Nothobranchius furzeri: one gene and its partners. The main gene of each other region encodes a partner of the protein of the gene in region 3 in a complex. Links are inferred from orthologs where the notes say so. Each region holds a gene or a part of one and is shown on either strand. Other genes may lie near its edges. The genes, in order: gemin2, txnl4a, snrpg, gpkow, prpf31, sf3b2 and lsm6.

Region 1 (4,079 bases), on a different chromosome or scaffold from region 3:
ATCGGAATATTTAAAGGAATCTTTGCTCGTTCAATAACCAAATTTACACCATTCTGTGTTTCATTTCAAAGAAGAGTCAGGTTTAAAAAGTTAAGAATTTATAACGAACAATTTAAAGATGACAATTTATAACAGCTTTGATATTAAAACTTGGTATTAAAAGCAAACCTGTGTCTGGATGAAAGCTAAAATGAAATGCGTGTGTTGGATGTGTGACTGGAATCTCAGAAGGTTTCTTTCAGAGAGAAACGCGTTCTGGGTGAAAGAGTTTGTTTTGCAGCTAACTAAGTTGTTTCTTAGAGATGACAGCATCAGACGCAATCTGTGTTCTACCTCACCCATCAGGCGACCCTCTGTGTGGATCCGGAGGTCAAGGAAGGATGTTGTCAGCCTCTGGGTACTCGGTCCGGTAGGGAAGGCGCGAGTGGTACCGACTCTCTGGTCCAAGAGTTGCCGCTGGCACACAGGTGTTGAGTTTGCGTCTTAACTCTGAAGGAGTTTTGTGTCAGCTGGTGCAGGTGGCGTTTATTCGGAGCGATTCTATCAGCGTGACAGAACAGCTTAGTGGAGGCTTCGGGCGGCCGACCCTTGTCCTCTGGGACTCTCGTGCCACGGAGAGGTTTTGGTTGGTTCAGAACTGTCAGCTTGAACTGAGGAGTTTTGGGTTTTATTAAAACTCAGAACACGCCCTCTCAGAGATAGAAAGCTTTGGTTATGGAGCAAAGACATGTGAGGTGGTTACCTTTACCCTGAATTCAGTGTCCTGCATGGTGTGTATAAGTGTACATGACCTTCTTTACACTGGTAAACATTACTGATTATCATAAATAATAATTATTAACCAAAGAATAATAATTCATTTCAGTAATTAAATACATTTATAATGAACCGTGATGATTATTTATGAACCTTGTAATAAACAGTGAAAAGAGTTTATTAAAAATGATTATTTTAAATCTTGAAGTGTCCTTCATCTTAGGATGGAACAGCAGACAGATTAAAGGCAGTCAGATTAAAGATGGTTCTAGAAGACTGTGCGTCTCCTGTGATGGATAATCTGTGGACAGAAGTTCAGCCAGGACAGCGTGACCTAGCTGGGGAAGTGTGACCTTTGGGTCACAAATATGGCCATTCATGTCGCTACATGTATGCAGTGTGTAAAACTGTTCCTACGTGCAGATCTGTGCATAAGTTTGTTTGATGAATGAGGGCCCTGGAGTTCTAACAATTTATTTTCGTGCGAAAATTTAAAAAACTATATTTCCACTAGCATTAGATTTGTTGTCAACCAGCTGGAGACGAGAAGCAAACTCACCAGCTGTGGAACAAACTCTCGCTCTTCAAACCAGCTGATCAGAACATCTAACAACATGAGAACTGTGGACTGAGACAAAAATATTAAGACTGTTAAACTGGCTAAAAACAACATGGATGTCATCGTAGACCCCCGTTTACCTGGTTTAGTCTGCTTACGATGCTCAGGAAGGGAGGGAAGCCAATCTAGACCCAAACAAACCATCAGTGAGACTTCACTTCCTTGGTCTCATGAAGGTGCCACAGAATTTTCATGAGTGGCGGATCATCAAAGGATTAAATAAATACACTTTATCTGTTTAGATTGTTTGCTTTTGTGGGAGAAGTAGAATGTGGAAACATCTCAGCTTTGATCGATTTAAATCAGGTAAACTCATTCTGAGGAGTAAGCGCTCACAAAGGCAATAAGGTGTAAACAGTTGTATAACCTTGCCGTAGTCCAATGCTGGTTCTTGGTGTGCATCCGTCGGGCCGGATGAAGTTCCCTGATAAACGTTCTCCCCTAAACAAAACCTCTTCCAGCCCTCCTCATCGGTCAGCCTCGGCTGTAAGACACCAGCGTCAAGCTTGCATAAACCAAACCTCCAGTGTGATGCTGCATGACAAGATTCTTACAGGTGCTTCAAATCCACCTTAACATGGGATTTCTGTCTCCCCTTGAAAGAATGCTGATTTCGGTTTGAGTAGTGAATAAAAATCTCACCATCTGCACGTTGTCATCCAGAATTTGGCTCCTCCAGTGTTGCCTGTTCTTGGTGATGCTCTGAGAAACAAAAGTGACTAAAGGACACTGTCCAGTGTGGACATGTTCGTAACGTGTGTTACTGTGTGGACATGTTCGTAACGTGTGTTACTGTGTGGACATGTTCGTAACGTGTGTTACTGTGAAGTCTCACCTGTCTGACGTCAGAGAAGTTACTGACTTGCTGCTGTTGCCACCTGAGGCTGGGGGAGAAGCCCTGAGGAGCAGCATGACATCCTGCTACCTGGAACCAAAACATGTTAAACATGTGGTGTGTGTGTGTGTGTGTGTGTGTGTGTGTGTGTGTGTGTGTGTGTGTGTGTGTGTGTGTGTGTCACTTACCGACACATTAACAGTTTGCTTCTTCAGTTTTGTGGGATCGATCTGAGCAACGACCACCTCCGGGCATAAAGAGGCCTCCAACCTAATGAAACACCAAACTTATAAAGCTCCGTGGTCGAACATGGTTCTGATTCTCGAGACGGTTCGGCTCGAACATACTGGACCTGTCGGAGGTACTCCTGGGGGTTTCTGGGGGTTCCACTCAAGTCCAGGTTTCCGCTCCCGCCTCCGGTCTCCAGCGGCAGGAGCCTCGGCATTAACTCCTCCACGTCCGACTTCATGTTCTAATAAAGTAAAAGAACAGCGGAACCGAATCAGGTAATGAAAAACACGCAAGTTTCACTACAGCACAGTCGCCATCTTCTTCTTCTTCTGGTGTTTTATTGGCGGTTGGCGAACAACGAATGGTGCATTACCGCCACCAACTGGTGTGGAGTGTGGTCTGGAACAGCGCTCATAAAACAAAATCAAACACGGGAAAGAAAGAACAAAAAAATACATATATATACACACACATACATACACATATATATACAAATACATATATACATCAAATTCTCCCAAACATCCTTATCTCTTTTAAAAACTGAAATAAAATCAGAAAACAGTCGCTTTTTGAATTCTGTCGGTCTAGTTTCACTTTGATCTGTCTAAGATTTTGAATCAATGTCCTTCTTCCTGCCTGATACTTCCGACATTGTAATATAACATGAACTATAGTTTCTTCTTCTCCACAATAATCGCATTTCCCTGTATTATGTTTCCCCATCATGAATAACGTATTGTTTAACCCAGTATGTCCAAACCTCAGTCTAGAAATGATCACCGCCTCTCTCCTACTCCTTCCAGTGTTTCTTATTTCTCCTACTCTTCTTTGAATTTTATACAACCATCTTCCCCTCCTTTCCTCCTCCCATTGTTTTTGCCATTTTTTCTTCATTTCTCGCCTTTTTATGCTCTTCATCTCTTTCTGACAAAATCGAACATCTAACTGAACCGAAGTATTTATTGTAGCTTCCTTAGCCATCTTATCGACTCCTTCATTTCCACTGATTCCACAACGAGCTGGAATCCATAAAAAATGTACTTTAAGTCCCATCGTGTTTATTCTATAAAGTGTTTGCTGAATCTCTAGGAGTATGTCTGGTCTGCTTCCTGAATGGCTGCACGTTAAACTGGTTAATGATGAGCTGGAGTCTGAACAAATAACTGAGAATAATGGTCTGTTTTCTTCCACCCATCGAACTGCTAACAGGATTGCGAGAATCTGTATAAATTTTTACATAGTTATAATAGTGATCGATATAATCCTGTGCTGTATGTGAGTTTAGTATGAAAGACTTATCCATATTCTTTCTCTCTAATAATGATAAATCAACAGACGCCTCAGGAAGAATCCATGGCGGAACAGCAGGTAATGGAACTCTTTGACTGATTGTAAACCGATCTCATTTAAGTTCTACTGGTTTTTTGATCATCACCCATCCAAAACTTGTTGTTTCCTTCTTTTCTTTCTCCCAGCAAGGTTTTGGTATGTCTCGTGTTGGATGATCTTCTTCCTGACCCTGAAGATTTGCCCAATAATTTAAAGCTATTCGTTCTCGTCTGATTGCTATTGGCATCTCACCCGTCTCTACCTGTAACGCTGCTATTGGGGTTGTTTTAAATGCTCCAGTACAGA
Region 2 (3,028 bases), on a different chromosome or scaffold from region 3:
AGATTCCAGGTATGTCATTAAAATGGTATGATTTCCAACATTATGCACAGATTCGTTTTATTTAAAATACTTAACATTTTAAAAAGCCTGTCTACTATCTTATTTTGCATAACCATAATTAAATAAGATCATATATTCATTATATTTATAAACTTATAGCCATATTTTTTAGCCAGTCATTAAAAGCCTTCTAGAATTAAGAGTATTAACAACAGAAAAGCAGGATTTTAAGTTTTACACTCATAAATCTATCAGTCTTATACTTAATGATGTGGTGGAACAGCTTGTACTCATGATAAACATGTTTATTTTATAGGCCTTAGAAGTACTAGATAGACTGGCTCTGTCCAGGGTGAACCCCGCCTGGTTGCCCAGTGACAGCTGGAGATAGGCACCAGCCCCCCGCGACCCTACATGGACAAGCAGGTTCAGAATATATATATATATATATATATATATATATATATATATAAAATAAATTAAAACACTACATTTAAATCTTAAGTAAAAGTTTTTTATTAAAACAGTTACAAGTTGTACAATATTACCGATGTGTTCCACACTGACATATTTCACAGAAATAAGCCTTAAAAAACACAAAACTTAATATTTATGAAGCTACGTTTGCAAAAACAAAAAGTGACATTAAACCCACCATTATCAACAATGTCCTGTTTTACTACCAAAGGTAAACACGCTGAAGAATATTCCTGAACCTTTTGTGTTTTTTGTCTCTTCATTTTGTCAAATGAAAAAATAATAAACTGAACAAAGGAGGATGAAAAAAAATCAGTATCTGTATTTTGTAGAGTAATCCTTGGGAGACACCACCAAACCTCTTCCTTTCCTTGCTCCTCGATACACAGTTTCAACAATATCTATCATCTCCTGTTTGTCCTCGATTATCCAGTTGATCTTGTTATTGTTACCGGTGCCCAAATCAATCATGATGTGTTTGTTCCTGGAAGAGAAAGACAAAAATATCACCTTAAAATATGTTTACTCAGCTGCCCTGTCTATTGCAACATGTGGAACTGGAAGAGCTACCTGAAAAAGAACATGACAGTGCAGGGGTCGTACAACTCGTACATCTTATTGAAATCAGGCACTTCTGTGATGTCCACGAGGTAAATGACAGCAAAGTTCTTCACCTGTAAATAAACAAACCAAGAATGAATTAAACATGGCATTTGGAGCACGCCAGCAGGTAATGTGACGCGACTCCTGAATCTGAGCCAACCGGACTTTATATAATAAAGACAGGAAACAAATCAAACCTTTTCAGCGATGCTGTAAAGAACCTCGTCCATCTTCATACATGTTGGGTCCCAGTCGTGTCCGAAGCGGATGACGAGGACTCGGTCCTCCTCAGACAGGATGGCTTGGTCGACCTGCCATCCATTGTGGAGATGCGGTAACATGTACGACATCTTGACTCAAAAATGAGCAAATTCTAACCTGAAATGGATCAAATAAAGAGTTCAAATCGATCACAGCTGAACATTAAATTAAACAAACATCTCTGAGTACCAGAGAACGGTTTGACCGGCAACAGCTAGCTAGCTAGTTAGCGTTAACCATGGATACAATCTGAAAGACACAATTATGAAACTTCCCACTAAATATTCTGAAACACTTACCCCAAAATATAAAATAGAGTATTTAAGTGGCGGGAAGAAAACGGACTAACTATAGATAAAGCAGCTATGTTCAATGTGACTTCTTTTAAACCCCACGGAAAACAAACGCTTCACGACGTCATCAAATCAGCGACGCAGGAGACGCGTTAAATTTACGTCATAGTCGCTCAATTCGAAAAACTCTTTTAAAAAGTCCCAATTTATTTATTTATTATTTTTTAATGTGAAAGCCGCACACAAAAAATAAAAATTTTAAATAATTAATTATTTGAAATAATTACTTTTCACTCCAGCAAGTACTTTTAAAATAAATATATTTACGTTATGTTTTCCAGCAATATCTTTTTGGATGATCATCTTTTTGGATGATCAACTAGAGAAATACTTCTAGTATTAAATGTATTTCGTATTCATGCATGGAGAACAAACAGATTTTCAAACAGCTCAATAACAAACAGAAATTATGTTTACAGTCTAGATAACATAATTAGAAATTTGCAACATGAATACATTTTTTAGGAAATCTCGGAGCACTCTTTATTTGTAAAGCTTGTTTGCCACACTTCAATTAAAACGTGCACGTGTTGTTTGTGTACTTTACAAAAAAAACTGTTAATATTTGATGCTGTGAAGTATTTCTGATTCTTAACAAGTTCACAAATTTAGAACAATGTGTATATTTGGCACACTTGCTGTAAAATGGATACAGCTTGAAAAATGATTAGTTTGGAGTTTTACTCTGCGTTCAAACTCAAATTCTTCCACAAAAAGAGATTCCAAAGAAAAATTTGTAAAAACCCAACCCTAACTCATCATGCAATGTCAAATACTACGTGTCGTACTTGATTTTTTGCAGGCTTCCTAACACACTTTGTAAATAATAAAATGTAAACCCTTTTCAAGCACTTTAAGATGGAGTTTTTAAATATTTTCCAGCACGTTACACCGGTGTTGCACAGAGACCGTTTATACTTGTTCACAACAATCACGTCACTTTGCTGTCTCATTAAAGGAAACGTCTGCACCATAAAGTCAGTTTCAGTTGTTTTCAAGGACTTATTTAAATGCTGAAGCACTTTTAAAACTTGAAAATACCATTACGAATAAACAAATAAATCATCAATCTTTCAGTCTTACTTAGATTTAGAGACGTTATTTTATTTAAAGTGTGGGTGTACAATTCTAATAGTGGAAAAACACGAAGAAAAAACACTTATTGTGCAATTTACTGCAGTACAATCAAAGAAGAAAAAGATAGTATAAAGGTTAAAGAAAAAACGTTCCAGTCTGACGACATAGCAGCACATTGTGGCACTCCCTAGAGAGAGAGAGTCTAAATGATCATTAGATATGTCTAAAAGTTATATTTTTTTCATTTCATGACTAAT
Region 3 (4,279 bases):
GAGTTTTATTCCATTTACTCCATGTGTATCCATCCATGACGTCAGTTCAGTTGAGGTGTGGTATAATGCCAGGCTAATTGGCAGCATGGTTTAGTAGTGTGGTACTTGCAACAGCAGTACCTTGGTTTGACCACCAGAGGTCCCTGGAGATCATATAATTTGTCAGTGCCTCTGAGGCTGGAAGTCACAATATTTACTCTGTGTTACCCTTGAATGTGCATCATTTGGGAATATATTTGTTTTTGCTTAGTCTTAAACGTTGGCATATTTACTTCACCATTTGTACAATCCTTTTACATCATTCTTTGTATTTATTTTCCAGACCACACGGAACCACAGAAATGTACAGATGTCCATACTTCAACTGTCATTAAATACGTAAAACTGTCTCTCCGTGCCCTGCTCTCTGACCGGAGCCCTTATCTTGAAGATACTGTCAGATCAGCAAATAACTTCCAGAGTTCCCACTCTATCACATTGTTACTGGTCAGAATAAAGGTAGTGATGTCATTGTTACTGGTCAGAATAAAGGTAGTGATGTCATTGTTACTGGTCAGAATAAAGGTAGTGATGTCATTGTTACTGGTCGGAATAAAGGTAGTGATGTCATTGTTGGCGTCAGGCACTATTCCGGAAGGGCAAACAGGTTTTTGACCGCTGTGGCATGAAGACGTTTGAATGGGAAAGTAATCGGATTACTCCTATCATTGTTACATCCTGGAATGCAATCAACATTAAACAAGAAGCATTATCATAACAACTCCACGCTTAAGGCTGTTCAAGTAATTTAGTCAACATCGGATCAACACAGAGCGTCAACCAGGTCCCGGTCTAGCAGCCTCAGGAGTTCGAGTAATGGACTTGACTTCTACAGTTGCCTTCTTGAAATCACAATCTGGTTTTATTGTGTTCTTAGATATTGGTTGTGGGCTTCCATGAGTTTTCATAGTCAAACTTGGTTTCACTGAATTTTATTTGTTGTTTTTTACTTTGTCAAAAATAGCTCTTCTTCCTGTTATCTGTTGAATCTGCTTAATTTTAACTATACTTTTTAACTTGATGAGAATTTACAGAAATGAAAGAATAACTTTAAAGATTAGGTTAAATTGTGTAAATTATACAAACTGCACAACAGATTTCCATCCTGGAAAAGAAGAGAACGAAGTTGAGCTGACACTGCTGGGAGCTAGGGACTCCGGTCTGACAGGTAAAAATCAGGCAGCACAATGCATCTCTGTCGTTCAACAGCAAAATAAATGGTCAACTGAATACAAACAATAAGGTAGAAGGAACATAAAATATGCACTTATTAACATCGTTTTACATTTCAAATACATTTCAGTATAATATGTAATACTTACGTTTACTTTTGCTTTTTTGTAAGATTGACAATAAAATTGTAAAAGTTGTTTGAAACAAAGTGTTCTTGCAGATATTTGCAGATCCAACCCTAACACGTTCTCCTCCCCGCCTCGAGGGGGCGTAGTGGGACTGTAAACGCTAACTGCTTCACTTCCGGTCACATTTTCCTTCCGCGGTTTTGTTCAACGTAACCCCGACGAGCTAGCTCACCGGACTTCGGTACAAAAAACGATACAGAATGAGCAAAGCACACCCGCCAGAGCTGAAGAAGTAAGTTCACGTGTTTAAAAATAACAATTAGAAATTATTAATTTTGTTTCCACGATTTTAACGGAAAGAACGTGTTAGCCTGTTAGCTTTGCTCCATTCTTTACCATGAGGCTAACATTAGCAACCCTGCCTGAACTGTGAACCACCGTCGCCTGAAATGTTGTTTTATGTTTCAGATTCATGGATAAAAAGCTTTCATGTGAGTATGGCGTTTTACGAATATGTCTTTAAAGCCCCTATTGTGATTATGAAGAGTTTATAGTTTTAAGGTGCTAAAACATTAAAACCACGTGACGGAATAATAATCGATTGCATTTGTGTTGCGCTTTACATCACGACAATCTCAACGCGTTTAGAGGAAAGGAAAATGTTGATTATGAAAGATGAAAAGCTTTACTATAAAAGATCTACTAGAGAGAAACGTTTTCAGTCCTTCTTAAAAGCCGCTTGTAGGTTGGGGTGTGCTTAAACTCTCAGGGTAGGGTTAAAGGTTAGAGGGTGGAGGGCATTGTCCTCCGTGGTGCTCAGCCTGGTCTGGGTCTATGAAGCAAGTCTGACAAAAACCAGCAGATTTAAAATCCATCTAAGTCAAATCAAAAGGCTGAGAAGGGTTGGGAACACCAGAGCAGAAGGTGCAGCACGAGGAGCAACGACTGACAGGAAGATGAATAAAGAGACCAGAGATGGGGCACATCTGAGCTCGCGGGGAAGCTGATTTCATCTGTGTGCAGCATCACCCTGCTTGGTTCTGACCCGGTGCAGCTCAGGTCTGAATCAGTTATGAGTCTTTGTCCTTTAGCTCTAAACTGTAATTCTATCTGTGTGTGTTGTAGTTAGTGTTTTATCATGTCCTGGTGACTGTAAAGCACATAGGATTGCCTCTGTGTTTGAAACGTGCTCGAGACATAAAGCTGCCTTGTCTTCGTTCCTCTGGAGCCGAGCTGAGCAGTAACGTCCATCCTAACCTTCTGATTCCCAAAGACGATAACTTCAGTCTCGTCTTTGTTAAACTGGAGGAAGTTAGACTGCATCCGGTCGTTTGCTTGCCTCAAACACTGACAGAGTGAGTCTAGGGATAGGCAATTGTGAGTATACACATGCGCAATAATAAATATATTTCTTTGATAACTTTTAAGAGATCATTCTGTTGGTGTAAAATCATTTTTTAGGCATGTCAGCTAATGTTTGGTTAGATTTTAAATGTTTGTATTTACTTTTGTTTATTTAGCTGCATAATTGGGGTAAATAGCTTGGTTTGCAGGGGTTCTGTGAAGATTGTGCAGGGTTTTTCCTGCATTCAAATTAGAGCTGAGGAAAATAATCGATGCATCGGGATGCGGACATAAATCGTAGAAGAGTACGCCGTAATCGATTATAGTGGAATGTAGTTTTGTTTTTTTAACGGCGGCACCAGCATCTGTCAGAGTGAGCGTCCTCCACATTTACCACGTGGTTCCGCCTTGATGTGGTACTGCATTGCTGAGCGCTAGAGTTGTAACCTGAGCCGGAACCAAATCAGCCCGACCGGTTCTGTTGGATTTGGGCCGTGAATTATGTTAATTGAGCGGGTTGTCATGTGGCGCGCTCCGCTCGATCAGAGAGAGAGACTGTCTACTCACACGAGAGGATCGCAGGACGCTCCTCTAAACCGATGCTCCAAACACGCGTTATTGTTTTCATAATTTCTCCTGGAAGCGCTCAGTCAGACTTAGGGATGGGTACCTTTGACATTTGAATCGATCCGGTACTAATTCCCGGTACCTAGGAATCGATACCGGTACTTAACGGTATCAATTTTAGATACTTTTGAGTGTTTATTATTTTAATTCTCTTTTATAATTAAATATATATTTTTCTCAATATATAACCATATTTGATAAATATCACGATAAAAAACATACAACTGTTTGTATTTTAACATGGTCCTTGTAGTTTTATAAGCTGATAATTAAACTGAAGCAAACGTCTTTACTGTGAACTAAATTTACTGTGTATCTTCATTCCTTTTGCCGTCTTTTTCATTTGATTTTTCCTACTGGGAAGTTAGAATTTCCGAGGAGAAAGCGAACGCACCATTAGCTGATAACAATAGTAGCAATGGAAGCTAACATACCAAGCTAACGTTATCTTTAACAGTTTATTTAGCTGCTGGAGCAGATTAAAACGATGATGCCTCACACTTAGATCGTTGTCGCTGGTTTCATCTTCACCCAATCACCCGTCGCATTTAGTAAAGTGAAGCCAAACTTTAGAGCGCGTTCATGTTATTCCAGTCGGAAATTCGAAGTTCCGAGGAGAAAGCGAACGCACCATTAGCTGATAACAACGGTGGCAATGGAAGCTAACATACCAAGCTAACGTTATCTTAAACAGTTTATTTAGCTGCTGGAGCAGATTAAAACGATGATGCCTCACACTTAGATCGTTGTCGCTGGTTTCATCTTCACCCAATCACCCGTCGCATTTAGTAAAGTGAAGCCAAACTTTAGAGCGCGTTCATGTTATTCCAGTCGGAAATTCGAAGTTCCGAGGAGAAAGCGAACACACCATTAGCGAAACGGAAGCTAACATATCGAGCTAACGTTATCTTAAACATGTTATTTACCTACCGGAGCAGATTAAGATGAGGATGTCTCACTTAGATCGT
Region 4 (4,175 bases), about 2.5 Mb from region 3:
GCCCAAACGAGCTGGGACACACCCAAAACAAACACTCTCACACATACAGAGGGCTGCAGGGCACTTGTGCACGCTCCTGTATGCACATGCATGCACACACACCTGGCTGTGAACCACAGAGTATTTGAATCAGTCTATTATTCATGGCAAAGGGGGTGCAGGTGCACTGAGCACGAGCTTCTGTTTAGTTTTCATTAAGGCAATTTGTGAGGAAGGCGATTGAAACCGATAAAGAAAATAGAAAAGCTATCAAGAAACTCTCAAAACACACACACACACACACACACACACACACACACACACACACACACACACACGAAGCAGATTCTCAGATTTCTCATATTTAGACTGAATACTGACCTGCCTTGCCGCTGACACACACACATTCTCTTCAAGCAGTTCAGCCTTTCAAAGAGGATCCGTTTGAACGCGTCTATATACATTGACCCTGCCGAGGTTAAAAAAGGAGCAGCACTTTAATAAATAACGCGACCTGTTTGGTTTGGAGCAACAGCAGGAGCTGGAGGAGGAGCGAGGAAGAGTCTGGAGTCTGGAGGAGATGAGATGAAAGGCGATCAGCCGGAGCCAGCGGAGAAAGTCAGAGCCGATGCGCACGGCTGACGGGATGTTTGGACACTAGTGATGCTCTGGGAGCTGAGGAGAGCGAGAGAGCGGGGAGAGCAGGAGAGAGAGAGAGAGAGAGGAAAATAAAACACACACACACACACACACACACTATCGGGCAGATTTGACGGCGGTCGCAGATAATTTCAGCAGCTGCTACATTGCTGCGAGCAAAAAGGAGAAAGGAGGAAAAAACAAGAAGGCGTGGATGGTTGTGACCCAAACGGGAGGTTTTAACTTGTGCAAAGAGAACAGTGCGTTTCTTACCCCCATGTTCACTCTCTGCGCCTCATCGTTTATCCATCATGCATACAGAAAAAGCCCGAATTACCCCCCAAAAAATCATACAAATGTCGGGTTCAGCAAATAAAGGTGTCGCTGAACTTCAGAGGTTGCGCAAAAGCAGGTGCGGAAATAGTAATAAGGTTGCGCTCATGCTGCTGACATGCAAATGCGGAGAAAAAAACAGCAACATTAGGCTACATGGCTAATGAAAAGGTTAACCTCACAAGTTCAGGCGCTCAGGAGGCACTGGGAGGAGGAGTTAAAAGCCCCGCCCACATTCTGCCTAAAACACACCTGCATCAGCAGCACCAGAGTCCGCTTCACTATCTGCGATTTAAAGGAGTCAGACCCACGCATTAATCCAACTCATTCAGCTCTTGTTTCTTTTTATTACAGGAGACTAAAAAGCTCCAGATAAACTATAGGGGTTTACAAGATGACCGCTTCAACGGAGCGATGTTTCAGCTTTTCAAAAATAGACCTGCAAGTCTAGACATGTTCACAATGAAAGTGTTAAACATCAGTACCTTTCTATTTTAAATCAAGTGTCAGTGTAATTACCGTCTGTTTAACTACTTTAAATGATTTGATATATTATTTAGTTACTAATAACCAACGGATTTCACAAATAAATCAGTAAATCTCGGATTGCCTGCGACCTTTAAAGAACTCTTATTATGAGGCATGATGGGATCTGTAGTCAATTGCAGCCTAGAGTGGTTATCGGGCTCGTTAACGCAACCCCATCTCCCAGAATGCACTGCGCCCTCATCGTTCTTCTTCCACAAACAATCATGGCGTCGCACGGAGACGGTTCAGGTGCCGCCGAGAACCAAGGAGATAAAAAGGCAGCGGCGGTATCGTTTGGTTTCACAAAAACTGTCAGCAAATTTAAACCCGCAGCCGGCGGCATTCCAGCCAAGACCGACGAGAAGGATTACCTGACTGGAATCGACCGAAATGAGTTACAGAGGTAGGCTAACCGCTAGCTAGAGGCTAAAGCTGTCAGTGGTTTGTAAACGGAGTGGTGACGTTTGAACTCTAAATCTGACTGACCACACTTTTACGTGGTGTGTGTAATGTATCTACCCGGGACACTTTAAAGATTTAACTTTTGTCTTCCGTGGCAGTTCAAAGCCAACCGAGAAGCCCAAAGAGCTCATCATCCCATTGATCCAGAAGAACCGCTGGCACAAACCGGACCGAGCGGACCCGAGTGGAGGCTCAGCGCGCGGCTCGGTCCAAGACAAAGACTCGGTGGAGTCTCAAGCTGTCAAAGAACTCATTGAAGGTTTGTGGTTGAAAAAGATGCAGAAGTTGGACAATGAATGGTTGCGTGTCAAAATGTGTACCCCCTCGCAAACGGAGCCCATCCTGGAAGTGTCTTCCTGCTAGACTGTAAAACAATTAAGAGCACGAGCTCCATGGCCGGTTTGTGTGTGTATTAGACAGTTTTTACTTTCCTACCCAACACTAAGAAAACCATCTTTATCAGTGACGTTGTGTGTTTCTGCTTGTAGATTCACGGAGGCAGCTGGAGCAATGGCAGAATGCAGCAGAGTCGAACAGAAGCCTGGACCTCTCCATCCCTCTGTTGATGCAGAACAAAGTCCCTGAGGGTTTTGAGGATGGAGACCATGTAAAGGTGGACCTGCGGCCTGAATCTGTAAGTGGGGACAGAACGGGCTGTAAGAGACTTAGGAGTATGCAAAGTTTACCAGACGAATGAGAAAAGATAGAAAAATTAATTATTCACAATTTTGTTGTTAGAGCAGCTTAAGTCAAGCCATCTGTTATAGTCAGTAATGCAACAAACCAGAACCTTTAGATTTATAAAACAAATGGAATAAACCTTTAAAAGGTTTAGTAAAGTACAGCAAAATTATTCTTTATCTTAATGATTAATTTAAAGCACGTGTACATGCTACTGCAGCAATCTGACACCCGGATCTACCAATATCCATCAAAAGTAGAGATGTAAGAAAATATCGATATGGCAATATATCGTGATATTTTTCCCAGCAACATTATATCGATATTCAAAAGCCGTGTATCGGAAATATCGATGTGGCAATATATCGTGATATTTTTTCCTGCGATTATTACATCGATATTCAAAAGCCGTGTATCTAATTCCTGAAAGAATTTACATGCAAACATTTGTGTATTTTCGTTTTGCGCAATTCAATCAGCACCCGCTAGTTGGCAGCAGTGTGCAGCGGGTTTTGTTTCCACCACTGAAATGTAAATCCCTCCATCATGGTTCAGATACCTCATGTTAAACATGTTACGTATCAGTTTGGACTGTTTATTGAACATTCTTACAATAAATTCAGTTAAAAAATTGCTTGTAACGTCTGACTGAATGTATCGCAATATATCGTGAAATATCGTATCGTCTCCCCTGTATCGTGATATGTATCGTATCACAAGAATTTCAAAAATACACATTCCTAATCAAAAGGCATGCTTACATCATCTTCGTCAGCTTGTTAAAGGATTGTACCACCTCACAGACGTTTGGTTGTGATGTTAGCAGCAAACCATGAAAAGTAAAGTTCGACCGATAATGGTTTTTCTGTTGCCGATACCGACGTGTAAAGGTTACGGACAGCTGATGGACGATTAGTGTTGCCAATGTTCTGTGCCGATTTTCATGTCTAGATGTTTTCCGCCCTATTTTCATGCTAATATGTCACAGGTAACACCAGTAAATGCACAAAATTTCAGAAGCTGAATCGGTTTTTGAACACTAAATTTAACTGTTAAATTTTAATCTTGTGCACTGCTCAGTGTTAAAACCAGACGTCTCACTAAAGTTAATCAAACAAATCAGGATACTGACCGAGTATTAAATGCTCAAAACTGGTAAACAAACTCTTATTTTTGGTGGAAATAATTTTTAGAGCATTAATTAAAGCAGATGCTATTCAGGAACATAAAAATACAATTAAATCCTGCAGCAGTGCCGGGCTGCCTGGGGATGTGCCTGACTTAAAACCGGCTAGGTTGTGTAATTGACAGTGAAAACTGTAAAAACCACGTTAAATCCAGAAAAAGCTGACAGGTTGAAGAAATCAGCAGTGACAATTTCATCAGTAACAAACGAATCTTTAAACTTCACTTCCTGACGGACGTGAAGGAAGGCCGTCGGTCTGAGCTCGTTATCTGTCTGAGGATGCTACGGGAAGGTTGTGATAGAATCTTCTGGACAGGTGCCTCAGTGAGGGCACGAAAACACCTGACAGTACAAAACGTCTGCTACT
Region 5 (2,473 bases), on a different chromosome or scaffold from region 3:
TGGGGTCGTGTTTCCAGACTTTCCTCGGTGGTCCGAACGGGCGGAGTGTTAAACAAAAATCCAACTTTTCCATTTTTAAGTGTAATAGAGGAAAAAAGAACTGCAGATCTGGATGATGTTAAACTCATGTTTCGGATCAATTTTTGATTTTATTTTAAGGAGGAGGTGTTGAAGGGGGGAAAAAGAAGATGCAAAGTTCTGAGATCTGCCTTTAATACATTATATTTTTGGGGCTTTTAAGGTTTTCAGAGAGGAAGGTCAGCTAAGAAGTCGCAAAAATGTGAATTTCAACCGTTTTCTCATCACAGTTCTGCATGGGAGATGTTATAAAATGGGATTATGAAACAGTTGTAAAATTTCAATAAATACTTTTAAGAAATTACACATGGGTGTGTGGTGGTGTAAGGTCTCGCTGCTCCCAGGGGGATTCGCTCTGCTTACAAGGTGGTTAAACCTAACAGGTCAAAGTTCAGGCGTAAGGTTCTAAAGGTGGCACACGCTTTGGGGTTTCTGTGGTTTATTCACATGAAGAAAATGGTAAAAAAATAAAATAAAAGCGAAGCACAATAGGGGCTAATTTAATGTACATGATGATGTCATCACTGAACACGTTCACATCTTAGCATCCTTTTTGACTTTGAGGAACTCCGCCATGTTGGAGAAATATTTCTGGTTGGCTTCAGCCACCTTCTTCTCTGCAGCCTGCGGGTTCACAATCTCCAGGCCCTGCAGATGAATGAATGAATGAATGAATGAAAAGCAGAAAGTAGAGAACTCTTCCACTGATCATCCGGTTCATACCTGGAGCGGAGTGAAAGCGACGCTGGAGCTGGTTCCCGAGGAACGGTCTCTCACTGTGGATTTTCCGCCATAGGTCATGCTCTGCTTCTGTAACGTCCTCTGTTGTGGTTGACAACAGAGAACAAGGTTCAGATCATGGACTATCAATAATCTGGAGGTGGAGATTAAAATAACGACCGAGTTTACCTGCAGCGACTTGGAGATCCTAGCCTTGGTGGCCTCGTTGACTTGAGCCTGCCGGACTCTGCCGCTGCCGCTCTTGCCCAGCTGACCCAGACTGAAGCCCAGATCCTCCTGATAGGCGTCATCTTCAATCTGCAACATCAACGAGCTCAAATCCTTACGGTCAAATAAGCTTTAAAGTCCTAAAGGGGTCGGAGGTGAGGGGGGGCAGAATGACTCGGGGCTGTTGTCCATGATGTTCAACCTCCCAGAAGAGACCGCACAAGTTGCTGTTTGAGGGAACTAAAATTCTCTGTAAATAGCCAGCTAACTAAAGTTAGCATAAACTGGTTTTAATACATATGTTGTGCTCTCTAGAGACGAATGCTTTGCGAGTCGTTTTCAGCTCTTGGCGCTACCGTTTCAGGAAGAAGTTAGCCCGAGGAGTGAGGGATGGAAAATGACGAGATTCAAAGTCTTCCTCGTTAACGATGATGTCTTACTCCCACAAATAAGTCTGATCGTGTTCTGCCATGTTGTGAGGTCACTAATGCTAACGGGGAAATGCTCAGATTAGAAAATTCCTGACAGATCAACGTCACACCGTTGCTCAACATTCATGGAGTCATCTTAACTCGCAACGGGGAGGGCTGTTGTTGGTTTAGCGTCAAGGAAACAGCAGAGAACGTCTCAGCTAGGGGACGCTAACTGTTAGCATTAACAACTTCACCACACAGCAGAACTCCTCCAGGCTTGTGTTATTTGTGGAGATAAAACATCAACGTTGAAGTTTCAGTAGAAACGTCATGTTGCTGTTAGCCAATCAAAAGGCGAGATGTTTGAACATCATTAATATTAATGAGCAAGATAGAATTCCCGCTATTTTCTGCCTCCTTTCCTCCCAACAAACTTCTACCTCACGAAACGGGAGCGCCAGAACTTTTTATTACCACAAGCATTAATTCACACTTGAGACCACAGCAGAGTTAAAGAAACAATGAGAGAACGACTCATTTAAGAGATACAAGTATAAAAACATTTAGGATGCTTAAAGAACCCCAGATCAAAGTCACTTTTGAAAGAATAAAGTTGAGTAGTTAAAGAGCAAGTCACCCCCTACCAGAGTATTACTCAACTCCCACTTCCTGTTTGAAAAATGCAACAAATGCTGTTTCCTAGCAGAGCGAGAGGGCGGAGCCGCTAGGAAACACACACACACAGGCTCACAACGACACTATGGTACCAGCTAACGTTCTAGGGTACCTCTTAGCCAATAGCGATGGCAGATTTAAATTCAAATGCAGTGCAGAGTTTTTACCTGACAACGGCACAACACTGACAGTTTTAGGCTGGGGACAAACCGGCCGCCGAAGCGCTCACGAAATTCGGCCGCAGCTCACTGCTCCTCAGTTCAGACCAGCCGCTTGTTTCTCCGCTCTGGTCGAGGCGCGCCTCGTAGTTTTTCTTTTAACCACTTAGTGTCCTCCATTTCCTCTCCGCCTTTTCCTCT
Region 6 (4,229 bases), on a different chromosome or scaffold from region 3:
ATTGCCACATTAAACAAGAGAGCGCCAAACACCCAGTCACTATTTCTAGATTCAAACGTCTTTTGTTTACCATGATTTCCAATGGTGGAGCATTAAATGAGCATTATGCATGGATAAAAGCACTATAAATCTGACCATGTGTTATGTAGCACCTACGCTGTGGGCGAAGAGATTTTGGGGTGACATCATATATGCAACATCTGATTTGTAGTCTGTTTTAATTACAAATTTTTACAAGCTAATACATCTCAAAATATTTGAAAGACACAGAAACACACATAAATACTTTTCATTTGAATTGAAGTACAAAAATGTGCATTTCAGGGCGTAAGGCAAAGCAGATTAGAAAATAGATTTTATAGCCTTGTTCACTTGTATTCGTTTTTTTCTATGCTCCGGGGACCTATGAGCTGACCGAAAGGGGAGGAGAGGCAGTTTGCTCACCAGCACTTGGGCACCAGGTTCGTGTCTTCTTGACAAAGTATTGCTCAAGTGCATGCACAATACGACAATTAAAACTCCACATCTAATGCGCACAGCTGAGATTTAAGCCAGCAACCTTCTTGGTGCAAGATGACCATTAAGAAAAAAAGCTGTACTTTGATTACATTTTACTTTTAAATTTTGTAATTCGTGAACCAAATTTCAAAAATGAAACTAAAAAGTTTCGCTTTTGTTAATAAATTCTCTTGTGCCAACACTGACATCCCGTGGCCACATGAACCAACTTCCAGCACACGTTTTTTAGTTGGGCATGGGTTTTAAATGACGTACACCCATCTGGGGAATTCTTACGACAGAGATGTGGTTTCGAAACAAATAAGTGTGTATGGTGTGATGATAAAGAAACCTCTGTTCATTTATTATTTTACTGCATTTTCTCTGAAGCTCTCTGGAATGATATCCATGACTGGCTATACACAAAGATACCTATTGAACCCTTTTCTGAGAACGATGTCATTTACGGTGCCATATTAGATAACACTGAATGGGACTTTCTGGTAAATAACATAATCGTTGTAGCTAAATTTTACATTCACAAATGTAGATATGGAAATGTGAAGCCAGATTCTATGCATTTCATAACGAGTGTCTTTCTTTCTCCAAAGCCCTTAAGTTTATGAAAAGTAAACATGCAATGAAACTCCTTAATCTTTTTGAAAAGTATGATTTGAAAACAAAGCCCTAGCTCTTTGTCTCTTTTTTATTTATTTATTTTTTTCTGTTTGTTCGTTTCGTTCACAAATATTCTTGCGTTCTATGCAAAGTCTCTTTTGTTATTTTTTGCACCTGATCCCGGGTAATGTAAAACAAAGGAATTTATGCCATGTTAATTGTAAATGAAAAAGTTCAATTTAAAAGAATTTTTTTTTTAACGTTGTGGCACGTTTCCCACAATGCATTGGTCCAATCTTCTTCTCACTCTCGCGTTGTTTCCGCTGCCGCCGTTGTTCCATTGAGAGAAGCTCAACATGGCATCCGACGGAGTAACGGGTAGCGATTCTCTTTCGCCTGATTTAGGAGGTGCAATCGCAGCTTTAAACACATGGAGCAATCCGGAGCTTCAAGCCAAGCTGGCTGACCTGGGCGCACCAAATATGGGTAAGAAATACTTGGAGGGCACTCATCGAACAATGAATTTAGCTACCAGGTATTAGCCTTCCGTTAACTTTAGCTAGCAGTTTGGTAACGCATTATTAAAGTAGGCCAACTACAGACTCTACGTGTGTTTACATTCACTAGAGCACAACATAGTGAATCTACCTGCGTGATTTGTGACGTTTAAAGCAACAGCTAAACGTTTGATTGGTTTGGGTCTTCTATTTAAACGTATTTATCTTACGTTTAGCTTATTTTGCTAACTTTGAGCGTAAGTCTTTGCATTTACGCAGTGTAGCGTTCTGTTTGTATCTTATTGAATCAGTAAAACTTCGAATTTGTCTTGCGCTCCTGGAATCACTTCCTTGTTGTCTAACAGTTATTTTCTCTCATCCAGGTCCCAGAGAGGAGCTGATTGACAGACTGAAGGGCTACATGATGCAGGTAAACGCTTTAGAAATGTGATTCTGGTTTTTCCACTTCCTCATCACGATTTGTTTCCTAAAGAAACTTGTTTTAGTACTAATTTATCTACTGGATCTGCCCGTTTGTTTTTGTCCTACAGACAGGAATTATCCTCAGCAAACCAAATGAAGACAACCCAATGGGCGTCCAGGTAAGGACTGATCAGATTGTTGTGACGTCACTGTTTAATGTACTGATACACTTTTCTGTTGGTCTTAGAGTTTTTTTTCATAAATGTCTTCTTGTGTTATCACAATATTTCTGGCAACCATCAAAAAACGCAGTAAATAAAACCAAGAGTCGCCATGGTGATCACTGCACTGTATAGATTTTAACAACACAGGTGGATGAGAGACTAGATTTAATTGTTTAACCACATTATCACAAAACAAACAAATGAAACTTGTGAAAACTGAGGTTCAGTTAAGCTCATGGCTCAGTGGGTGTTTGCCTTTAATTTACTTCCTTCTTCCTCCAGATGCCAGGGTTACCTTCTCTTCCCCCATTACCCATGCCTCCAATGCCCCCTGGCATCGGAATGCTCCAGCCTATGGGCATGATGCCCGCTGGAGGTCCTCCTCCTCCTGGTTTACCCTTAGGAATGGAGCACGGACCCCTGCTGCCTCCAGCGCTGACGCAGGACGACCAGCTGAAGATGGCTCAGCACAGGGCGGCCATGGTTCTCCAACAGGAGGAACGAGCCAAACAGGTGAAGCCCTCAGACCATCATGTTCCGTTGTTGGTTTAGAACACTACACGCTAAGAATATTATGCATTTGGGAGATTGTGGGACGCTGAAACAACAAAATATAAATCAGAAATAGTTTTTTAATTGGGTTAGTTGAGGCAAAATCCTGTTGTGAATTGTGGATTTTTGCTCATTCTGGTTACAACAAGAGGTGAACAGGACCTTCTAGAGCAGCAGAAAAGGCAAAGATGTTCCGTTTAATATTTAGGGGAGCTGAAGGCCCCGTTTGCTCTAACAGAATGAACCTTTCACTTTGCAAAGTGATGATTTTAAGAGCCTTTTCCCCACCTAGTGGCCAAGTTAGATATACATCTGCTTCTTGTCTAATTGCAGGTAATCGGCTGAATAGAAGCCAACAATCCAGAGCAGAGCTTTAACTAAACTCAGGGGTTTATCTTTAATCTGCACTTCCTACATGTTCACCTTGTATTTATGTCTCCCCGTCTGCGTGTGCCAGGCTGCTGTGCTGCTGGAACAGGAGCGTCAGCAGGAGATGGCCAAGCTGCAGCCCAGGTCTTTGCCCATTGGTCAGTCTAATGTGTTATTTCAAATAAAAACACATAACTTCATGTAAGTCCAGTTTCTACAGCAATGACCACTTTTTCAAAACTCTTTTTCAGTTTCTATCTTGGATCCTCGTGGGCCGCTTCCTCCTGGTGTCACGTTGTTGCCCTCCCAGAAACAGAGGGTGCCCCCCCCTCCAGGAGAAGACAAAGAGGTAAACAGACTGAAACGGAGTTTCTCCTGTTGCACATGGAAGTCCTACGCTCTTAAACACGAGATTTTATCGTCATGCTGCTTTTAGGGATGGGTACCGAATTCGGTACTTTTTAAGGTACCGACCAAATTCCATAGTACCGACCGAGCACCGATTCACTTAATTTGAAACGGTGTCTCGTTTCGGTACCCGTCCTTCACAACGAGAACTTGCCTAGACAGCTGCGCATGCGCAAGAGCGTTAAGTCATCGGTCGCTGCGAGCCAGTTGTAAACAGAGCAGCATGGTAGAACGAACGAACGCTTAAGCTTGGGTCCACTTCACTAAATGCGACGGGTGACTGGGTGAAGATGAAACCAGCGACAACGATCTAAGTGTGAGGCATCATCGTTTTAATCTGCTCCAGCAGTTAAATAAACTGTTTAAGATAACGTTAGCTTGATATGTTAGCTTCCATTGCCACCGTTGTTATCAGCTAATGGTGCGTTCGCTTTCTCCTCAGAAATTCTAACTTCCCAGTAGGAAAAATCAATTGAAAAAGGACGGTAAAAGGAATGAAGATACACAGTAAATTTAGTTCACAGTAAAGATGTTTGCTTCAGTTTAATCATCAGCTTATAAAACTACAAGGACGACGTTAAAATACAAACAGTTGTATGTTATTTATCGTGATATTTATCAAATATGGTTATATATTGAG
Region 7 (4,025 bases), on a different chromosome or scaffold from region 3:
GTGTGTGTGTGTGTCTATAATATTTTTTACAAACCCGAAGTTGGTTACTCGTTAGAATAATTAAAAGAATTATTTGTTTTCATACACTTTATTCATAGACTTCTTCACAACTACAAAAAAGTTTTCCATTGGTTCAATAGTTTTTGTGATGTTAACAAATGTTTGTTATAATAAGAAAATATTTCACCAGGCACATGTTTATGTTTATGTTTATGTATTTAGCAGACGCTTTTGTCCAAAGCGACTTACAAGTGATGTGTTTATAAGAATGAAAAGATGTCTTTTTTAAGTGCACATCATAGACTGTACATACTGTGCACATTTTCCCATTTCCCCAAGATTCACTGATTTCCCTCTTTCCTGTTCACTCTCTCTCTCTCTCTCTCTCTCTCTCTCTCTCTCTCTCTCTCTCTCTCTCTCTCTCTCTCTCTCTCTCTCTCTCTCTCTCTCTGTCTCCCCCTCTCCCTCCCTCTCTCTCTCTCTCTCTCTCTCTCTGTCTCCCCCTCTCCCTCTCCCTCTCTCTCTCTCTGTCTCCCTCTCTCTCTCTCTCTCTCTCTCTCTTTCTTTCTCTCTCTCTCTTTGCCTTTTTAATCACAATTGTCTATTTTTGCTTATTTTGAACATATTTTAAATCATTTTTTGAAACCTTTTTTATATTTTATATTTTTGTGAAGTGCCTTGAGATTTTTGTCTTGAGAGGAGCTACAGAAAAGATTGTTTTCTTTCTTTCTTTCTTTCTTTCTTTCTTTCTTTCTTTCTTTCTTTCTTTCTTTCTTTCTTTCTTTCTTTTAAACGTTTGAACACTTACAGATCAAGAAGAAAGAAAATGTACCTGAAATTGGAATAGGCTTATTTGTGCATATCCCACATTACATTGAGATAAATTTTGAATTTGTAAAAAGAATAGTAAAATAATACAATGAGACATTCACATGAAATATTATGTTTTTACATATTTACAGTAGTTTCTCATTTTCTGTATGAATTTGTTACATAATAGAAATATTACTAATGCTTCAGTTTATTCAAAGTATAACAATGCACAACAAAACAAAAAAACTTTAGTATATTATAATATGAAAGCCAGTGGATATAATATTAATTACAACATATTAGAAATACATTTATAGAAAATAACTTGTTAAAGGAAATGGGTATATCGTATTTTTAAAATGTACTTTTAAATATTCTTGTTTTGTCTATCGAATTAAAACTTTGCGCTTTCAGGACATTTGTCCCTACATAGTTTCCGTAGTCCTCCAATGTGATTGGTCAATGCGCCGAACATAAAATCGTTGTGAGATCGTTCATCCAGTGAGTAACTTGCTAGCTCGGTGTTCGCATCTGTAAAACTAGTAAAACATCTATTTCCTATCTTATTAGGATCTGTTATGATGTAACAATACCTGTACATTGTACTTTATTGTTAAACAATCTCCTACGCTATTAGAGGCTAACGAACTGACCCACGGAATAGCTGGTAGTTAGCACTTAGCTCGCTAGCTACATAGAAGCTCATTTGATAATTTGAACGTTTTAACCGTACATAGTTTTGCATTTAGGCGTGTACTATCTGGCTACAGCTATTCGTTTTAATATTCTCGGGTTTGAATAATGCCTTTGTTACTAGATAATCAATTATAGCTTAAATGTGTATTAGGGTAATGCTAATGCGGTTCTTTATTGTGATAAAATGAGATTTACTCATCTGTTTTATTCTTTTAGATAAAAGCGAAAATGAGTTTGAGAAAGCAGACCCCGAGTGACTTTCTGAAGCAGATAATTGGGAGACCTGTCGTGGTCAAACTGAACTCTGGTGTTGATTACAGAGGTAATGCAGCTGGCATCAGGTGTGGGAATGTTTAGGGTTCTCAGAGTTTGATTAGGTTATGAATCAGAGGGTTTGTTAAGCAGTCATTGATGCATCTTTTTACGCCTTCTGCCTCATGTTTAGTTCTAGACAATGACCCCCTGACAACTACTTTTAATTTTTAATGATCTTTTAATTCATTACAGTTAAGTTCTTTATACAGGCAGACAGGAAGTTGAATGATGTAATCCCATATAGGATTAGAAACTATGAAACAAACACTAACTGAAAAACAGTTAAATTACTGCAGTTAAACTCCAGTTAAATGCTGAGTAATTGGAATAAACTTGAAAAGTTTCGTGAGGACCAAATTTTGCTTTAATCTTCAACAAACTATTTGTGTTTGTGTTGATATTAATTCATTTACCAAGCTAAAGAGAGATTCACACAGGTTACACAGATACATGGAGGAGGAACACTTTTTGACACAACACTCCTACTCAGACATCTTTGTTACAGTTTAAAATGTTCAGTTTTTCAGTATTTGATGTATTTATTTCTTCAGTCAAGACTCAAACTCCATCCCAGTTGCACACCATAATGTGCCACACTTCTGCACTTCAGATGTCTGCCTTTTACACTCACCTAAATAATGATCATTATTAAAATCTGTTTTGATAATTTTTGAATGAATTTGTAATGGTTTATGTTTGCATCAAAATGCATAAAAAACAGTATGCCCCTCTTCCCTAGCTGGCACGTTCAGGTCTGTTGTTGTTTTATTGCCCAGGTAAGTTTATTTTTAATCTGAAGTTTGTGTTTGTCTCTGAGCAGGTGTTTTGGCCTGTCTGGATGGTTACATGAACATCGCAATAGAGCAGACGGAGGAGTATGTCAATGGACAACTCAAAAACAAGTATGGAGATGCCTTTTTGAGAGGAAATAATGGTAAGATTTGATGTTTTCACGCTGCAGGGCGTTATACAACACCGTTTTCCTCTGTTACTATAGCTCCAAGTCATATTTAATGATTAAACATTCCAGGTTATGAAGGCTGTACATTTGCCATGATCTGAGTCTTTGGTGCAGTCAACTTCCTAGCCTCATTCTTATTAGCTCACAGAGACAACATTATTACACTGTGTGCTCTAATAGATCTTTCAGTTGTTTAGGTTTTTTTTTTCAATCCAAAGTGATTAGAGATTTAAATTTGTTGACAATTTTTAAATGAAACTTTCAAAGTCATGCACCACAAGATGTTTATTTTCATTTTCTCATTAAGCATTTTTGCACCTCAAACCTATCTTTATAGGAAAACCACAAGATATTCCCTTTTAAAGTTGGGAAACTAACCATGTCGGAGTTATACAGGAAGCTCACTTCCGATGAAAACATCGAGCCCCTTTGTTGCTGCTTTGAAAAAACTGGTAAAATGCTACTATTTTACAGCATCGTTTGTTAATTAATTCATTATGTTACATTAGAAATGTACTGATTTAGCTTCTGATGGCAGAAACTGATTTGTGTTGCCTCAAAGTGATACTAATTTTGGGTGATTTTTAAATATAATATGCTGTTTGAATTTAAATATTAAATAGAATATTTTGGAAGTGTAAACTTCTACATTAATAGGGTTAATAAGTAGGGTTAGGGAATATTTTGATACCTGTGTGATTTTTGTGGTGCCTCTCTAGACTGAGCAGATACAGCTGCGACTGACTACTAGGGATGCACCGATGGATCGGCATTTGATCCCAACTGGCCGATAGCGCCCCTATCGGTTTTGATCGGAGTTTTCAAAATGGATCAAAGCAGACCGATCAGGTAGGGTTGTCACGGTAACCGGTGTAGCAGTAAACCCCGGTAAAATAAAAAAAAGTTGACAATAATAATAACCGTCCGTTTTTAAAAAAACTATATTATCTCGGTGGTTTACCGTGGCTGCGGTGTAGGCGCGGTGACCCTTACCAGCCACCGTATCATCTGTTGAAGTTGCCAGCGGCACATGCGCACTTTGTTGTTTACAACCAAAACTTTCTTGAAGCTAAAGCTGAAATAATGGCCAAAGGAGGAAACGGCAGCGCGCAGGACATTTATTATACCTCAAAGAAAACAAAGTGGGAAGTACGGGCATTTTTTGAATATTTGAAGAATGCCGAGGGACAGTTTATAGAAGACGGCTATCCTGTTTGCAGCACGTGCAGAAAAAGTGTCT

Evidence for each region.
Region 1: snrpg (region 3) and gemin2 share a complex: the UniProt entries of both Homo sapiens proteins name them as parts of the SMN-Sm complex. The link is inferred for Nothobranchius furzeri from reciprocal best matches to the Homo sapiens genes SNRPG and GEMIN2.
Region 2: snrpg (region 3) and txnl4a share a complex: the UniProt entries of both Homo sapiens proteins name them as parts of the U4/U6-U5 tri-snRNP complex. The link is inferred for Nothobranchius furzeri from reciprocal best matches to the Homo sapiens genes SNRPG and TXNL4A.
Region 4: snrpg (region 3) and gpkow share a complex: the UniProt entries of both Homo sapiens proteins name them as parts of the minor spliceosome. The link is inferred for Nothobranchius furzeri from reciprocal best matches to the Homo sapiens genes SNRPG and GPKOW.
Region 5: snrpg (region 3) and prpf31 share a complex: the UniProt entries of both Homo sapiens proteins name them as parts of the U4/U6-U5 tri-snRNP complex. The link is inferred for Nothobranchius furzeri from reciprocal best matches to the Homo sapiens genes SNRPG and PRPF31.
Region 6: snrpg (region 3) and sf3b2 share a complex: the UniProt entries of both Homo sapiens proteins name them as parts of the minor spliceosome. The link is inferred for Nothobranchius furzeri from reciprocal best matches to the Homo sapiens genes SNRPG and SF3B2.
Region 7: snrpg (region 3) and lsm6 share a complex: the UniProt entries of both Homo sapiens proteins name them as parts of the U4/U6-U5 tri-snRNP complex. The link is inferred for Nothobranchius furzeri from reciprocal best matches to the Homo sapiens genes SNRPG and LSM6.

Annotation. Positions count from the first base shown.
Region 1 is NC_091758.1:40,480,325-40,484,403, forward strand, and holds the start of gemin2 (gem-associated protein 2), read right to left. Parts: upstream 2,801-4,079; 5' UTR 2,680-2,800; coding exon 2,558-2,679; intron 2,481-2,557; coding exon 2,399-2,480; intron 2,301-2,398; coding exon 2,211-2,300; intron 2,105-2,210; coding exon 2,018-2,104; intron 1,860-2,017; coding exon 1,743-1,859; intron 1,501-1,742; coding exon 1,456-1,500; intron 1,385-1,455; coding exon 1,316-1,384; intron 1-1,315. UniProt on the Homo sapiens protein: The SMN complex catalyzes the assembly of small nuclear ribonucleoproteins (snRNPs), the building blocks of the spliceosome, and thereby plays an important role in the splicing of cellular pre-mRNAs.
Region 2 is NC_091751.1:22,094,955-22,097,982, reverse strand, and holds txnl4a (thioredoxin-like protein 4A), read right to left. Parts: upstream 1,786-3,028; 5' UTR 1,641-1,785; intron 1,459-1,640; 5' UTR 1,431-1,458; coding exon 1,278-1,430; intron 1,152-1,277; coding exon 1,048-1,151; intron 962-1,047; coding exon 790-961; 3' UTR 501-789; downstream 1-500. UniProt on the Homo sapiens protein: Plays a role in pre-mRNA splicing as component of the U5 snRNP and U4/U6-U5 tri-snRNP complexes that are involved in spliceosome assembly, and as component of the precatalytic spliceosome (spliceosome B complex).
Region 3 is NC_091755.1:44,511,917-44,516,195, forward strand, and holds the start of snrpg (small nuclear ribonucleoprotein G), read left to right. Parts: upstream 1-1,479; 5' UTR 1,480-1,600; coding exon 1,601-1,632; intron 1,633-1,808; coding exon 1,809-1,831; intron 1,832-4,279. UniProt on the Homo sapiens protein: Plays a role in pre-mRNA splicing as a core component of the spliceosomal U1, U2, U4 and U5 small nuclear ribonucleoproteins (snRNPs), the building blocks of the spliceosome.
Region 4 is NC_091755.1:41,971,939-41,976,113, reverse strand, and holds the start of gpkow (G-patch domain and KOW motifs-containing protein), read left to right. Parts: upstream 1-1,375; 5' UTR 1,376-1,586; coding exon 1,587-1,882; intron 1,883-2,039; coding exon 2,040-2,200; intron 2,201-2,429; coding exon 2,430-2,575; intron 2,576-4,175. Other genes in the region: membrane-associated guanylate kinase, WW and PDZ domain-containing protein 3, read right to left, coding at 361-443. UniProt on the Homo sapiens protein: RNA-binding protein involved in pre-mRNA splicing. As a component of the minor spliceosome, involved in the splicing of U12-type introns in pre-mRNAs.
Region 5 is NC_091745.1:76,602,936-76,605,408, forward strand, and holds the end of prpf31 (U4/U6 small nuclear ribonucleoprotein Prp31), read right to left. Parts: intron 1,117-2,473; coding exon 988-1,116; intron 901-987; coding exon 802-900; intron 727-801; coding exon 613-726; 3' UTR 501-612; downstream 1-500. UniProt on the Homo sapiens protein: Involved in pre-mRNA splicing as component of the spliceosome. Required for the assembly of the U4/U5/U6 tri-snRNP complex, one of the building blocks of the spliceosome.
Region 6 is NC_091742.1:75,394,453-75,398,681, reverse strand, and holds the start of sf3b2 (splicing factor 3B subunit 2), read left to right. Parts: upstream 1-1,429; 5' UTR 1,430-1,472; coding exon 1,473-1,602; intron 1,603-1,996; coding exon 1,997-2,043; intron 2,044-2,164; coding exon 2,165-2,215; intron 2,216-2,542; coding exon 2,543-2,773; intron 2,774-3,269; coding exon 3,270-3,339; intron 3,340-3,432; coding exon 3,433-3,530; intron 3,531-4,229. UniProt on the Homo sapiens protein: Component of the 17S U2 SnRNP complex of the spliceosome, a large ribonucleoprotein complex that removes introns from transcribed pre-mRNAs.
Region 7 is NC_091744.1:10,586,904-10,590,928, reverse strand, and holds the start of lsm6 (U6 snRNA-associated Sm-like protein LSm6), read left to right. Parts: upstream 1-1,225; 5' UTR 1,226-1,314; exon of another isoform or gene 1,315-1,355; intron 1,356-1,375; exon of another isoform or gene 1,376-1,480; intron 1,481-1,725; 5' UTR 1,726-1,737; coding exon 1,738-1,831; intron 1,832-2,644; coding exon 2,645-2,758; intron 2,759-3,122; exon of another isoform or gene 3,123-3,237; intron 3,238-4,025. UniProt on the Homo sapiens protein: Plays a role in pre-mRNA splicing as component of the U4/U6-U5 tri-snRNP complex that is involved in spliceosome assembly, and as component of the precatalytic spliceosome (spliceosome B complex).